Linked DNA regions of Drosophila melanogaster. The protein of the gene in region 1 interacts with the protein of each later gene in a pairwise test. Each region holds a gene or a part of one and is shown on either strand. Other genes may lie near its edges. The genes, in order: Sugb and CG14882.

Region 1 (9,903 bases):
AGAATCTGCAAATCAATGAGCTCAATTAAGCGCTGGTGCGAGGACGCGCCAGGATGTCTAAGACCATTATTGCGATTATGCCGATGGGCGGCGGTTAGTGGATGGTATGACATCACAGACGAGTGGGCGTTGATGGGTGAGGGGTGGCGCCACCCCCTGGGGGCGGTTAGCGACCGGCTCTCTATCTTTCGAGGGTGAGCCGCGCAAGAGGGTGAAACTGGCCAACAGCGGTTCACGTGCGGCCCACAAAACTGATGCACTAAGTCCAGTAATGGTATCTTATAATTTCTATATATTGTTTTTAACACATTCAAATCATGCAAGAGGGCTTTGAAAACCAACCTTATCCTTGCTTGATTCTTTATATAATGCTTGAACTCTGCGTCTCATACAATAAAAATCAATTTGGCAAAAGTGGCGGCGCCGCGTTTTACCAATTTTCCTTTGTGTTTTTTATCGTGGCTCTTCCTTTTGCGTTCCGTATTCGCAGCGGAAAACACACAAAAACACCGAAAGAAAACACACACGCGAACGGAAAAACGAAAGCCGCAAGAAAGTCCGCCGTCTCGCAGACAGCGAAGGAAACTGCAGTAAAACGTTGGGAAAGCAGAAACACAAGTTTTTATTTGCACGCTTTTGTCGCCTGTAATTGTTGTGGCCGCCGTTGGAAAATTGTCGAGCGGAAAAGCGTGGAAAACGAGCGTTAGCGCGCACGACTCAAAATTCAAACTGCAGGCGGATGCCAACAGCGAAAGTGGAAAAGCCTTTTTCTGTTTTCCCCGCAACGAACGAGAGAGAGAGCGAGAGCCTGCGCACTGCCCGCTGCTCTCTCCCTCGCGCGCGGAAAAGAGCTTTTCCCATGGACGTAGTGCTGTAGGGTATCTATTGCTTCCTTTTCGGAAAAGCGTCTAAGCACTTTCGGCCTACTCCCCTGTCTGTGTCCACTTTTCTCGCTGAGTCTGCGCCCTGCCCTCCGCTGCAAGGTAAACAAGTTCAGGAGGAGTTTCCGCGGAGTAGTTTCCCACCCTTTGAGCGACTGGGCTTTTCCGAGCCATTCAGGCAACTCTGCAGGCTGGACGCCCGTGGGTGTTCACGTGCTGCAGTTGGCACTGTAAACATTTTAAAAGTTAAATATTCATTAATAGCAATATATTTTTATTTAATATTTCAATTTGTACAGAAACTAAATTACAGCATACATATTAGGATAAACCATCTTGCAAATAACTGAAGATTTGTTACAGTAAAGATTAAGATACCACATTCAAACGCGTTTCAATTTTCATTCATAACAACAAATATTTATATATGTATTTCAAGAAAAACCTTTATAAAAATTTTAAGTTAGAAAAGCGACAAAAAGTCAACTTATTGCAGAAGAAGTGAAACAATAAAGGCTAAATTTTGAGTTTTATATTTAGTTTTAATACTTTAAATGCTAATTTGATCATTAGTCAATGAAAGAATCTTTTTGATAGGATTTCCAGTTAAACACGAGTTTTTTTTTTGCAAAAATAATTTCTTTGGAAACTGATTCGTCGTGTTCCATAAATTTGCCTATTTTCTGTCTGTTGAATTGGCATTTGTAAACATGGAGCAGCTGATTCGGACTTCGCATTGTGCGTCCAATTATATCCATGACATTCATCGAGGACAACAGAAGTGTGTTGGCTGCCAAATAAACACGCAAGGAGACGTCTGCGCCCCCGACCTCTGATCCCGTGGAAAGTCCACCCCCGCGGCGGCTGCTTGGCTTCTGCTTGGCTTCTGCTCCTGTAGCCATGGTATTTTTTATGTGGGCGAGCCTCGTTCCGGGGGATTACACCGGAATGCACTCGAACGCAAGGCGAAGTTCGCATTAAAAAATAGACGACCCTAGACAGCGGAGCATGAAATATTAAGCACTTCGAGCGGATAAACAAAGGCGGCGAGAGGACGACTTGTTGGATTATTTTCACTCATTTCTGCGGTCAAAAACATTCAAAGCAAACAGCGCTCAGATGCGAAGTTGTTAGTAAAGCCATTGCACAAACATGTAAATGTAGTGCGTTCAAATCTGGCAAATTCCGTAGTAGTAAAAAGTTGTTAAAAGGTTATTTGGTTTCTAAAAAAATTGTTAAATGTATAAACACATTTCTACAAAATGCTTTCGAGTTAACAACAACATTATTGGTTTAAAGTAAATATAGCTAAATTATTTTCGTATTATTAAATTCTTCGCTAAATTAATGTCTCTAATAAAATGTTTTTCAACGCTACGTTTTTGAAATGAGTTTTTCAAAAGTTTGGTGTGGCAATGCCCTAAATTGTGCGGGCTAAAAATCGGTTTGAAGCGTAGCTACCCTTCTATCCAAGTGTTTCACCTAAAGGCGAGGCTTATTTAGGGGTTTTCGCGTTGCTTCGAGGACTTTCGAAGGAATTTCTTTGGCCACATTGCTGCACAAAGAAGAATTTGGCGGTGGAAATTTTATTTTTGCCGTGGAAAATCATACGAAATACGGGCAAACAGCGAGCAGATGACTGCCGGTAGACCCATGAAGATCCACGGACCCACTGCCTGCATTGAATAACCGCAAAGTGCTCTGCTTCCGGAGTTCCGGTTTCGAGAGTCTGGTAAGTGGCGTGAGGAGAGCACTCGCAACAAAAGGAAAAAATCAGTTTATATATATCTTAATAATGCCGATCCTCCAGATAAACACACAATGTCGTCGACATCGACGGCTGCAGCGAACGCAGCGCCAGCGAAGACGGAGGTGCGGTACGTGACCGAGGTGCCCAGCAGTCTGAAGCAACTGGCGCGCCTCGTGGTCCGTGGATTCTATTCCCTGGAGGATGCGCTTATCATCGACATGCTGGTGCGGAATCCCTGCATGAAGGAGGACGACATCGGCGAGCTGTTGCGCTTCGAGAAGAAGCAGTTAAGGGCCCGGATAACCACGCTGCGCACCGACAAGTTCATCCAGATCAGGCTTAAAATGGAAACGGGGCCGGATGGTAAGGCGCAGAAGGTCAATTACTACTTCATCAACTACAAGACCTTCGTGAACGTGGTGAAGTACAAGCTGGATCTCATGCGCAAGCGTATGGAGACGGAGGAGCGTGATGCCACCAGTAGAGCAAGTTTTAAGTGCTCTTCGTGTTCCAAAACATTCACGGACCTCGAAGCGGACCAGCTGTTCGACATGGCCACGCTGGAGTTCCGGTGCACCTTCTGCGGCAGTTCCGTGGAGGAGGACAGCGCCGCCATGCCCAAGAAAGACTCCCGCCTAATGCTAGCGCACTTCAACGAGCAGCTGCAGCCACTGTACGACCTGCTCCGTGAGGTGGAGGGCATCAAGCTGGCGCCAGAGGTGCTCGAACCGGAGCCCGTGGACATCGACACCATTCGAGGACTGAACAAACCCAACGCCACGCGACCGGACGGCATGGCGTGGTCGGGTGAGGCGACGAGAAACCAGGGCTTTGCCGTGGAGGAAACTCGTGTGGACGTCACCATTGGCGGCGACGACACCTCGGATGCGGTGATTGAGCGCAAGTCGCGCCCCATTTGGATGACAGAGAGCACTGTGATAACCGACACGGATGCTGCCGATGGCGCGGCCGATGCGGTGCAGACGGCAAGCGGATCTGGGCATCGCAACCGAAAGGAAAACGAGGACATCATGTCCGTGCTGCTGCAGCATGAGAAGCAGCCGGGCCAGAAGGAGCCGCATATGAAGGGTATGCGAGTGGGCTCATCGAACGCCAACTCTAGCGATTCCAGCGACGACGAAAAGGACATCGAAAATTCCAAGATTCGTAAGAAGCACCAACCATTTCTCGATCTCATCTTTTATGGGTTCTAATATACGTTTTTGTACTTGCAGCTGATGTCGACTTCGACAATTATATCAACTCAGATTCCGCGGAGGAGGACGACGATGTGCCCACTGTGCTAGTGGCTGGACGACCGCATCCGCTCGACCAACTGGACGACAACCTGATAGCCCAGATGACGCCGCAGGAGAAGGAGAACTACATACACGTATACCAGCAGCACTACAGCCATATATTCGAATGAGGGCGTCTGCAATTAGCCACGATTTCTACGTTTTCCACGAGTTTCCCATCTCACGCATAGAGTCATTGTAATTTAAGTTACCCACTAGTTCGAGCGAATGTGTACAAATGAAATGCGTATAAAAATGTGCATAAACAAAGACCGAGTTTGATACTGGGAAATATTTTGAGCAAAAAATTGTGTATTATAATTTATAGAAGCTATTGGACGTTTTCAATAATCTTCTAAATAGACAAATATTTTAAAATACATTAAAGCTCGTTATTTTCGCTTGTAAGCAAGTGCCATCTCTAGCTGGACCAACTCCCATCCCTAGTCGGTCCAATCAGCTGTGTTTGCCATTATTGTTTTTTTTTTTTCTTAGGTTTATTTAAGTGTTGCTAATAAAAAACCGAGCGGCCGGGCGCCTCTTCTTGTTCGTCGGTGGGCGTATTCAGTTTATAATAATTGGTGTGCCGCAGATAAGGCGGATTCGTAAACAAACGACGGCAAACACAACCAAACATGTTGACACTCGGCTCGTAACGCCAGCGGCTCCATTCAGTCGTGTTTTGGATGTCCATCTAGCCGGAGCCCTCGATTTCCGCGGACTGTGCGTGGTGCGGCACTCAATTCGTGCTAAAAGTGCGACAAGTTCCCTTGCACTTCGAATAGCCAACGAGCAAAAGTGTTGATTCTTTGAAAGGAAAACGGATTAAACCAACTCAGCGGATTCCAATTGGAGCAGAAACGTGATCCCGCGTGCAAAAACACACATGCAAAATAAATAACAACACCTGCTGGCTGTGTGAGTGTGCAGGCACATGCTCTTTCTGCTTGCCCTCGCATTTTTTGTGAATGAACTGAAAAACGCGCTAGTTTAGCACCGATAGTATTGATCTTTGTGCCGCGGGTCAACGTAATTACGCCGAAATGAAGGCCACCATCGATAAGGAGCTGCTGCCCATGAAGGCGCACTACTTTCTCTTCAACGCCGGCAAGTACCCCTTCCCCATACCTAGCAAAACCATTAAGTTAAGCACCGCGCATCGCTTACATCAGCCGATAATGTTTTCTCGTTTTCAGAGGCACGCACGTGCTGCATATATGTATATATATGTATATGAGTGTGTGTACGTACATCCATATGTACATACATTTAGCTGTTAATTGCGAACTTTTGATCTGTAGCTTCGATTTCGTCACAGGGCACTTATGCATTAATGAACATATAGAGCACCATGTTCGAAGATAAGGCAATCACCCGCAATAGAGAACATAGAGCAATGAAAGTCCAGTTAAATAGCGATAAGCTAATGCAGGCAGATTCGGGTTACGATTCGATTCCCATCGTATGATGCAGCACTTTGCTGGCTTTTAATTACAATCGGAGCAATTCCATTACGTTTATGTCGTGTAATCGAAACTTAATTAGCTGTAACCCTTATAACTTTGAGCTGTTACAAAAAATTCAATTGTCTTGTATCTACTGATATGTTAGTGTATTTTACAACCATTTAATATCCATATTTTATTAAAAGTACGCCCATATACACATACATACTAAAACAGCAACAATTTACAATTTTCATACGATTAATATTTTTCGTGGAAATAATCTCCTATCCAGCAATACCAGTGAAACACGCTCTATTCTGTATAAAATCATCAAAAAATGTGTATTTGGAATCACTTCAATTAATATAACTTTTCCATGGAAACGGATGGAAAATTTGAAGTATCTGTAAATGTCTGGCGTCCAATTAATTAAGCACTTTATTTGAGTTAAGACCACATAGAAACAAAATAATACAATTTCCAATCTGGTGTCAATTGCCAGAATTGGCTGACACAATTCATTTTTGGTTAGTTAAAACATCAGATGTTACTGATATTCGTATTAGTAATTAGATGTTTTGAAAATTGTGAAGATAGTAATACTATTCTTGGCCATGCAAACACAGACGTGCGATAAGGTGTACTTTATACCCCAAGCTAAACCACGACTAAACCGTTTTCGAAATGATGAGCGGCGGACTCATCGCAATCCCACTGTCAAAGGTGTCCAATTGTTAGGAAACGAGATTTTGTGACAGCACCATGGCCCAGAGACCTCAATGCCGCGCCCGAAAGTCATCAAAAGTTAAGACGTGCCGACAGGCAAACCACTTTCAGCAATTAAAGCTTACTTTTGCTTTTCAATTCAATTAACATTAGGTATGTTCTACTTCGAAGCGAGCCGACAATGTCTAGCTAGTTGCACTTGTTTGCGGTTGACTTTGCTTATCGGCGGTGGAGAAACACCCACTGCTTTCGAACTGCCCATATGCATATCTCCACCCACTCACTCACTCATCTTACTTATCAGCTCTAACGAGTCGGCAAGATAATCTAGTGTTTTTCTGCATTATATTTATTTAGGCACCGCTCCCGTCGTCCCCTTCATGCCCACTCTGGCCGGCCAATTGGGCTACTCCCCCGCCGTTGTGGGCACCATGTACACTATCCTTCCCATCATCGGAATGCTGGCGAAGCCCCTCTTTGGATACATTGCGGACCGGTAAGATGATCCCTCTGACTTATCTGTCCATGTAGATCCAATTTCCAAGACCCAAACACGTTTGTTTATCACACTTTATTTAATTTTATAAACTCCTACTCAGCACAATGTTACGTCTTTTTGTGATAAGTTTCAAGTGAGCTATACTCATAAAGTGTCTATGTATGCATATCCCAACTGAATTTAAGGAAATTATCAAACAACAAAAAAAGATAAAGCCCCTTTAGAGTGGCATCAATTACATATGTTTTACCAAAGAATTTGAATATTAACTGATTAACACTATCAATCAAAAGACACAGTTCAAATTTGCAATGACAATGCTTATAGTTGGTTTGCTGATTGATGGATAAATTTATTCATTATCGAAAGATAATGTACTTGTTTTTAGGTGTCACTTGTTGGTTTTCTACCAATTAGAAAATATTAATTCAATAATAGGAAAATTTGAACTAATTCTGATACACTGACTATTTGAAGATTTAACTAATTAGAATGGTTTTCACCCATCCAAAGGTACCATCGCCATCGACCCCTATTTCTGGGTGGCCAGGTCCTCACGGGCATCGCCTTTTTCCTCATCATGTTCGTGCCGGGAATGGAGAAGCCGTTGCCCAAGGTCGAGTTCCACTGCCACCAGGGTGTATCCGACATTCCGAGATTCTGCTCGGAGTACGGCGAGTGCGTGGAGAGAAATCTTGAGCGGTACTACGGGAACAGGACGTTGGAGTGTGAACTGAACTGCGAGGCACAGCCCTTCATGTGGGACATAGTGTGTGAAGATTGGCTAAAGAACAACACGGAAAACTGTGCCGCCAATCGAACCAATACCCAGATGGAATTCGGAGCCAGCATAACTATGCAAAAGATTGAGAATGATGGCAGCTGCATGTTCTTCATGATTCCGCACGATCAAGGCCAGATTGCAGGCCAGAATGTCACGTTGTACTGCCCGAAGGAGAAGGAGTACTTCAAATCCAATTGCACCATGGACTGTCGTGAGGACTATCTCAAGGAGCAGCTGGCGGAGAGTGCTGTGATTAACACGAGTAGTGCCGTAACCATGCCGCAGTTTTGGCTGTTCTTTGGCCTGCTCATCTTCAGCTGGATCGGCATGGCGGTGGTGGTCAGCATTGGTGACGCCATATGCTTTGGCATCCTCGGCGATCGTCATCACCTGTACGGCAAACAGCGCCTGTGCGGCTCCCTTGGATGGGGAGTTTTTGCCCTCTTGGCCGGCCTCCTTGTGGATCACATGTCATTGGGTGAGGTGAACAAGAACTACACGGCCGTGTTCTGGATGGCTTTGCTTATCATGGGATTTGATGTGTTCGCATCATCCAAGCTGAGGGTGAGCATATCAGAGACAGAAAATCCTTTCCTTAAACTAAAGTTTCCGTACTCCAAATTACAGCACACGCCAACACATTTGTCGTCCAATATTTTGAAAGATGTGGGTCAGATGTTTCTCTCGGTGCGCTGCGTTATATTTTTCTTGTGGTGCGTTGCCATTGGACTTGGAACGGCGCTGATATGGAACTTCCTTTTCATATACCTGGAGGAGCTGGACAAGGCGTTCGAGGGATGCGACAGCTCGATTAAGACATTGGAGGGCTTGGTCATGGGGATTCAGTGTTTTGGCGGTGAGCTGCCGTTCTTCTTCCTATCCGGATGGATTCTAAAGAAAATTGGCCATGTAAACGCCATGAGTGTGGTGCTTTTTGGATTCGGAGTGAGATTTATTCTCTACTCGATGCTTCAGAATCCCTGGTACATCCTGCCCATCGAACTGATGAACGGGGTGACCTTCGGTCTATTTTATGCAACAATGGCCTCCTATGCAAGCATTGTGGCACCGCCAGGCACCGATGCTACCATGCAGGTGAGTTCGATGAATGTGTAGGGGGCGATCCCAAGAGTTATGCATATTGTGGCCATTTCAGAGTCTGGTTGGAGCGATATTCGAAGGCGTTGGTGTGTCAATGGGCAGCCTGATCGCTGGACAGCTATTTGAGTCGGTCACTGCACGCACCACCTTTGAGATCTTCGGAATTGGTGCCTTCATTGTCTTTGTGATCCACGTTTGCATCCAGCTGTATCTGCAGCGCAACAGCAACATCGACGAAAATGGTAAGGGTACGGTCGCTTCTGCCTCCGCCACTGCCTCACCCTCTGCACCCTTGGAGACAGACATTCCTAAAAATACAGACCATAAAGACGGTGACGGGTTTCGCGAAGTCGACTTGAGTTGATGGTGACCGTGATTGTCTTCCTGAATTTTGAATTTTGTAGTTTTATGTAAATTGACGGATTTAAACTAACCAGAAGCTAGCGCCCTTAAGTATTATCCATTTAAATGCAGTGGATACGCTGGCCATTGTACTTAAACCACCATATATTTTGTAAGATCTGCCATAGATTTTATAATAGAATATTTGACGAAAACAAACCTAATAATTCTCAAAATGAATTTATAATATTGTCGTCCTATGAAATAAGCTTTGTAATACTGAAACGAAATGATGATAGCCATATCATACTTTTTCAATTTAAATGTATGCGAACTGAAGAAAACTTTAACAAATAAAATGGGTATTCGATTTCTTTGAAAAAAGAGAAGAAAAACTATTTTAAGTGCCTATAAAACCTAAATAATTTATAAGAAGTAAATATTCTTACAGTGGAAAAATAATGAGCTAACATGTAGACTAACACTTTTGGTCAGCCATAATGAAATGTAACTTACTTTTTTTTGGCATTTTAAACTAATCGCTTTAGTTCCTGTGTGTAATTTAAGTGGAATGTTTATTAGATTCAATCCCCCTTTAGCTTTTACTTGTAAATTTATTATTTAATACAATAATATAAATGTTTCACTAACTCTTCTGAATATTTTTAGGCACTGTCAAGTATTTCGCACCGACAGATGCAATGCACATGCTGAATGATCAGGAGTATAGTAGAGTTAGCTAAACAATGTTTGTATTGGACGCATCACCACCCACAACACCAATCACCAACGAGCGCCAGCCTAAAAAACAGCGGCGACAAGGGCCACGCTTCTACAGTTCAAATGAATGCTGCACTCCAACATATTTCTACTCCCGAGCTGCATGTTGAATCGATGTACTACCTGTATTGTAATCTCGCTTTAATTAAGTAGTAACTTATCTCAGTAGCCCCACACTCACACGGATCGCCACCTACGCGTGCATGTCGCGTAAGCGAAGCTCTTCCTCATTTTCTCATTTACAATTGAAACCAATGTGAGAACTTAATTATTTGTAGAATTTCAAGCGCAGCT
Region 2 (6,930 bases), on another chromosome or scaffold:
ACAGCAGCTAGATTCTGGGTAACCACTGCCAGTGAGGGCGGGGGCGGAGCTGGTGTAAGTGAGAATATGTACAGAGGCACGAATAGCTTATGCAGCAAGTGCTCGGTTAACACCGCGTTCAGATCCTTGATTTCCAGTAGAAGAATGTCACTCAAATAATGCAAATGATCCAGATGCTCGGCAACCAAATTGGACAGCTTTTGATTCGATTGATGGCTGCGGATGAATTAAGAAATCAATACTATAAAACGAGGGACTATATTACAATAACTCTTACTCTATATCTGTGCGAACACAAGTGTCTAGTTCAAGAATGTGTTTGCCGATAAACCAGACCAGATTACTGAAATATGGAGCAGCCGTTCTAGGGAGAAAAAAATAGTTTAATGGAGCTCATGGGACTGAAGGCAAAGGTCGTACTTGTCTCGAATAAAACGCAACATGCTTGGATTTTGAACCTTGTAGACATTTAAGGAAATGGTGCGCACTGCAATTCTCACCATTGACTCGGGATGATTAAAGAACTTAATAGCCTCTGTATACAAGGGAAAGTCATTTGTGTGCTGTAAGGAATATGTCACATTAAATGGATGTAAATATGTGTTTTAGGCAATGCAAACCTCATTGTAAAAGAAGTGTATTGTGTGAGTGTTTAACTTTAGACTTAGCGTCTTTAAAAAAAGTATATAATAGCCCATCACATCCTCGTCGGAGAAGTCAAACTTGTGCACCATGATAGAATTTACATGGTTGTTGCTCAACAGATAATCTGCAACGTCATAGGAATGATTACGTCTACTGTATTATAGAAACTGTTGAAAATTGTACTTACACAGGGACGTCTCGTTGCGTATGTTCTCAAAGAGGATGTTGAGAGTCTGAAGGAGCTGCACGCAGACGAAACTCGAGCCTCCACTCTTTTGTCGCATTATGTGCAGGAAATACGATAGCATATTCTTCTCCAAGAAGAAGCTGTTGCAAATAATTAGATTAAGGTTTATTACATTGAGATGCTTAATACTCACTCAAACACCAGCGAGTCATGCTGGTCGCCCCAAATCAGGATCTCTGCGATGCAGCGCAGCGACTCCACCAGCAGGCCACGATTACTTTCCGACACGGTGGTGTTCTTCTCCAGAATGCTGTACAGGTACTTAAGGTGCTCCAGCGACAAGCGGTTTTTGGGCCGCCCACCCCAGGGTCCGCCAAACCAGCTGCGACTCCGGAACATGTTGGCAACTAGGATGGAATCAACTGGCCACGATCCGCCTGACTGCTCTCATATCAGGGTAAGGAGGAGTGCGGGAGCGCTGTTCTCTTGGATCTTTGCATGCACTACTGCTCACGGTCACGCCACTGGGTTGGCCCACAATAAGGGGGCACCTAATGCCTGCGATTGCACGAATCTAATATTGTAATTTGCGAATGGCGATTTTTTCCAACAAATTGCTCTTCTTCTTCACGGGGAACACAAGTGTCACAGTCAGCTGTTGCTTCCGCCCATATTTATGGTTATCGGTATCGAAGTAACAGAGATGACAAGTGGCTATTTTGTTGTGATTGCATGAGAACTGCGACTGGTTCACGACTTTTAAAAACCTCTCAAAAGAACCGTTTGAATTTTGTAAAACCAGACAGTAAAATTTGGAACAAACCTCATATATTAATAGCATATCACACCATGCATTTTACATTAAATATAATTAATGGATTTTTTTGGTACCGTTTGTTATGAAAATGGGTTCACATTTGCATATTCTACAGAGGTGAAAATGTACGAGAACTGAATTTGATACGTTTTGCTACAGTTTGACTATTATTTTACACATCATCCACGAATACGGCTTTATTTGTTGATCTGCAGAGCATTAGCTAGCTAGGTTTTTATTTAAAGTTGATGGAATACGAGCCCGTGTTGGGATCCTGTTGCATTTGGAAATTCTGTGTAGACAGTCCGAACGGTTTGAGTATCATGTTGCCCAGGTCCTTTAAGCTGGACATCATCTCGTTTTTGAGCTTCTCGTTGCGCTCGTTTATAATTGGCGGCAGCCGAATCTGAGCCTCGCGAGCCTCCTGCTGACCGGGATCGATCTCAGTAACTTTTTTGTAGTCCTCCAGAGCCTCGTCGGGCTTGTCTTCTTGCTCATAGAGCTTGGCGCGCCTGTAAGATGTAATTAGACTTTAGAAATTTTAAGGGAGATATTAAAATAAAGACCTTAAAAGCACCCTCACATACTCCGGCCACAGTTCTATAGCCTTTGTGCAGTCGTCGATGGCCGCTTTGTTGGCCTCCAGCTTAATCTTGGCAGCAGCCCTGTTTCCGTAGAGAACTGCTCGCTCCTTGGAGCTGGCCGAGGGGCAAATGTCTAAGGCTTCTGTGTAGGTCTTGGCGGCGCCTTCGGCGTCGTCATTTTTGAACAACTCGTTGCCCTCAACTTTCAGCTTATCGGCCTTTTCTTTGTTAGCTGTCAGCTGCTCTGGGCTGAGATCCTTCTCCCGTTCGCGCAACTCCTCAATGGTTAGCTCAGAGTCCACTGTCGTTGGTGTCGCGATGGAATCTCCACCAGCCGCGCCCTGTTCCGCTTCGTCATCCAACGCCAGCTGGTTTTGCTTCTCCACGATCTCATCCACGTCCTTTTCGCTCTGCCGCGTGCTGGTGGCCTCTTTTTCGGTTATCTCCTCCCCGATCGCATCATGGAATTCGTCGTCACTGTTGGCGTTGCCTGCCATTCTTTTTAAAATTGATCCTTACCGAATTTACTGGAGATTTCGGTTTGTTGTTCAGCAACAAATAAAGCTCCTCATGCTAACGATAACTGTGCATATCGATAACACCGATGTCGTACAGTGTTGACAAAGGTAGGTTTCTGATTAGGTACCTTCCCAAGCTAAGAAATGTTAGGTACAGATAATTTTTAAAACAAATAATTTAAGGATAATCCTTAATGTTGTATTTGGCAAAGATGAAGACCAATTTAAAATAAACATTTAATCTTTTACAGCTTCCCTTGATAAGGGAAGCTGTAAATAAACTCTTTCCAACACTACCGCTTGTTAACGATTTGACTGCTGCCCATGCGAATTGGTAAATACGGGAAAAATGGACTTAGGAGCTTATAAATTGAGTGAATACATCCCCGCCAAGCCGCTGGTCGGTAATCTGGAGTTGTGTTTCACGGACGAAGAGCAGGTGAGTTAGGAGCTACCGTGAGAATAGCCTTTTCAAGCCTATCTTTGTAGAGACCCACCGAAACATGCGGCCAACTTAAATGCTGCGATATTTTAAAGTTCCCATTCGCCCGCCCTGATTTCCAGCCAAGTTCAGTGGAGATAAAGGAGAGCAAGGTGCTCGTGTCTGCTGATAAGGCTACAGAGACAAAACGCGTGGTGGAGCTGACTCTGGAGTCCACGTTCGATTACCAGCCCGGGGATACCATTGGAATTTTGCCTGCTAATAAACTCGAACAAGTGGAAAGTCTGCTCCATCGGCTGGAACTGTTAGACCAGGCCGACACCACTTGCCACTTAAAGTTGGTGTTCAACTGCGCCAATAAGAATGCTAAGCTACCCGCCCACATTCCAGCAACTACTACTCCCCGGGAGATCCTTACCCACTGCCTCTCCCTTAATTTTGTTCCGCAGAAGCAGCTCCTCAGCGCCCTGGCCGGATTTACAAGCGATGACAAAGAGCGTTGTTTCCTGTCCTGTCTGTCCTCTAAACAGGCCACCGAGTACTACCAATCGCTGATATTAGAGCAAGGCCTGCTTTTCATAGACATTCTTGAAGTGTGCGTCAACTGCAGGCCACCACTGGCATTCCTGGCAGAGCACTTGCCACGGCTGCTGCCGCGACCGTACTCCATTGCCAACAGTCCCTTGGAGGCTAGTAATCGCGAACTTCGCGTTATCTACTCGCTGCTCAGCCTCAAACCTGGAGTCACAACCAGCATGTTGGAGGCGGCTGCACAGCAAAGCAGTCCGGAGCATTCCAAAAAAGTAGTTATCTACCCACGAATGAGCAACCTATTCCGTTACACAGAGCGGGATGTGGGCAGAAACCAAATACTTATTGCTGTTGGCACAGGTCTGGCGCCTTTTCTTGGATTCTTAGCCCACAAGGAAGAGCTTATAAAACAGCAGCCGCAACAGCCAAGCGGGCAATCCTGGCTCTACATTGGTGCCAAGACCCCAGAAGCAGTTCTTAAGCGTGAAAAACTAATGGAGTGGCAGGAATCTTCGTTGCTCGAGCGCCTACGGATGTGTTACTCGCGAGGCGAATCCCCCAGCTACGTGCAACATATGTTGGAGGAGGACTGTGAGGATCTGGTCGAGTTCCTGATGAAGTCAGAGACTGTGTTGTACATTTGTGCCGATGGCGCCAAGATTTCGCAGTCCATTGCAGGTGTTTTAAGTCGTTGCTTGCAGAAGGCTATGCATCTCACTGAAGAAGAAGCTTCGCAGCTGTTAAAAAAACTGAGGAAGCAGGACAAATACCGCGAGGATGTTTGGCTGTAATGGACAAGTCTTAGGTGCAGTCAAAATAAAAGCTTCATTAATTAAGCCCTATAAATAAATACCTTAATATATTAGTCGTTTGTAACTCTTACAGAAAATTTGAATTTTTAGTGTGTTTGTTGTTTTTACGTACGGTTAAGGTCGTTTATTTTCATAATTGAAAATAAGTGTAGCAAAGGAACCACTTCCACTGCTCATTTGAGTAGCTAATGTATGCAAGTATTTGCACTCAGATGTTTGTAAATCAATTGCTATTATTTTAACTGCAGCCTCAATGTAAATAATTATAAAACAGAAAGCTTTGGTCGAATAAGTAAATAACGATATATTTAACAACACAAAATAAAAATTACAGTGCAAGGTAAACTAAATACATACAATTGTGAGGGCCATCTTCAATGATCGAAGTGGATGGGGACGACTACGTGTACTAAATGGATTTGGGTCTGTGTATAAAATTGACTTAAGTGGTAAATTGCAAAATATATCTAAATAATGGTAGAATATAGATTACGACTTAGGTTTCAAGCAAATTAAACGTGCACACATAAAACATAAAACGTATAGTAGGGTTTGCTCTTTGAATTTAACCGATTGGTAAAGCGCTAATGTATCGTTATTGTTTCTCCGCTTCTCTAAATATCTAGATCTTTTTATTTATTATACTGTTTACGTTTATTTTGGCAAGTCGTTTTGACCTTGCACAATAATATGCATTTTGTATTTTATCTACGTTTAAGTTTAATTGAAATAGAGCCAATTCTTTTAGTGTATACTAATATAATTACGAATCGATCAAAATTGATGTCAGCTTCTTCTTTCTCCTATTCGTCCCTTTACATTTGCAATAAAAGTTGCGTATAAAAAATTATGCTACTTTATGTTGTTCTTTGTTTGGTTTCAAGACTTAAGTTCCATTTTACATTTACGTTTTTAATTGCAAATTTTGCGTTCGTCTTAAATGCGTTTGCGAATATGTAATGTCGGGTATGTTTCGGTTTCCAAAAAGGCAATCTAACCCCGTTTCTACTGCCCCAAAATACTATCCGTTCGTTGCCTTGCCTAATACTCATTTAAGCTAAACTAAGAAAATCAAGTATATTTTCGATTAATAATTAAGCTCTTTAAAAATTATGAATGCATAATTGTAGGCCAAATATTGGGATTTCATTTCGTATATAAAATTTAACTATGAACCGATCTGCAGCAGCAGCAATCCATTTTCCCTATTAATATCAAAATTGCAAGTAAAATATAATCCCTATCGGTAAGTGTATATATAACAGATAAAAAAGCTAACACCGGCTGGCGAAAGATCCTTGAATGCACTCCTTTTTTCATTCGCCTTCGTTGTGTTTTCGTAAAATATCTGTAGTCTGGCGACTAGCCCACAGATATACTTTTCGAATAGAACTTGTGGTGGTGGGAAATAGCATAAAATATCGAACTGAGAGGATAATGGAAAAATAGGTAGTTTAAACCTTCTTCAATATATTCTCTTCGGCAATTGGCATTGCTTATGATTCCCGTTGGGAGTAGGTTTAGTGTACGTATACCACTTCTATATGATCTATATAGTCTTTCTAGGGACAATATTTCAATATTTCACTTTAGCTTTGACACACACATTACGGCGTTAAATAACATCTCTATTGTGATAGGGGCTTGTATAGAATTACAATTTTCTTTGTGCGTATGGCAAATATCTCCAAGGAAGGAACAAGGGAATCTACTTTAATCTGTTCTTTTGTGGCGTTTGGTTAGTCTTACGTTTGTACTAATTAAAATGGAATATCGAACATTTATCCCTCAATCCCGTCCACACTGCGAATATCAGCTAATATACATACAAGCTCTGTCTAGCTGGCTCTAATTAGTTATCTGTTGCATCGATATCTGTATTCTATGGGAAATGCATAAATTGTGGAGATAATCTTGCTGTGTGTCGCTTGCTGCTGCTAGCTCTAGTCCTAATGGCACTTGTTACACTCATTTCGACTTGCTATATCTATCGCCTTCGTTTTGTTTTGATTTTTTTTTTTTGTTTTTTGGTAATGTACAACAAGTATTGCATGTTCTCTGTTAGGGTTCGTTTGCACTTACTGACTACGACGAATTTTATAAAGAGTCGCATAATGCTGATTTGATAAAATCGCTTAAATCACAATTATGTATATATACGGGTATATAAAGAGTAATCAAACTTATGTCCCTACATTTAATAATACAGTATCTATGTATATCATATGTGCGTGTTTGTGTGCGTTGTTGAAGTAAGCTAATTTGCCATAGGACAATCTAATCTAAGCGATAACCCCGCCCCCCTGCCATCGATGAACTGCTCGAGCGATGCGATATGGATCCACGGTTTGGCGACGGTTTCCTTCGAGTTTTTCGGCCCCTGCTCATCTCTCT

The links.
Region 2: the proteins of Sugb (region 1) and CG14882 interact in a two-hybrid assay, tested with the Drosophila melanogaster proteins (one large-scale study listed by BioGRID).

Annotation. Positions count from the first base shown.
Region 1 is NT_037436.4:11,679,610-11,689,512, forward strand, and holds Sugb (sugar baby), read left to right. Parts: upstream 1-4,370; 5' UTR 4,371-4,972; coding exon 4,973-5,036; intron 5,037-6,460; coding exon 6,461-6,599; intron 6,600-7,115; coding exon 7,116-7,950; exon of another isoform or gene 7,951-8,013; coding exon 8,014-8,481; exon of another isoform or gene 8,482-8,542; coding exon 8,543-8,851; 3' UTR 8,852-9,216; downstream 9,217-9,903. Other genes in the region: TfIIEalpha (transcription factor IIEalpha), read left to right, coding at 2,703-3,798, 3,867-4,060.
Region 2 is NT_033777.3:16,440,188-16,447,117, forward strand, and holds CG14882 (uncharacterized protein), read left to right. Parts: upstream 1-3,019; 5' UTR 3,020-3,100; coding exon 3,101-3,190; intron 3,191-3,240; coding exon 3,241-4,515; 3' UTR 4,516-4,823; downstream 4,824-6,930. Other genes in the region: ema (endosomal maturation defective), read right to left, coding at 1-216, 278-364, 421-563, 621-769, 833-972, 1,026-1,231; Ttc1 (tetratricopeptide repeat domain 1), read right to left, coding at 1,885-2,161, 2,216-2,730.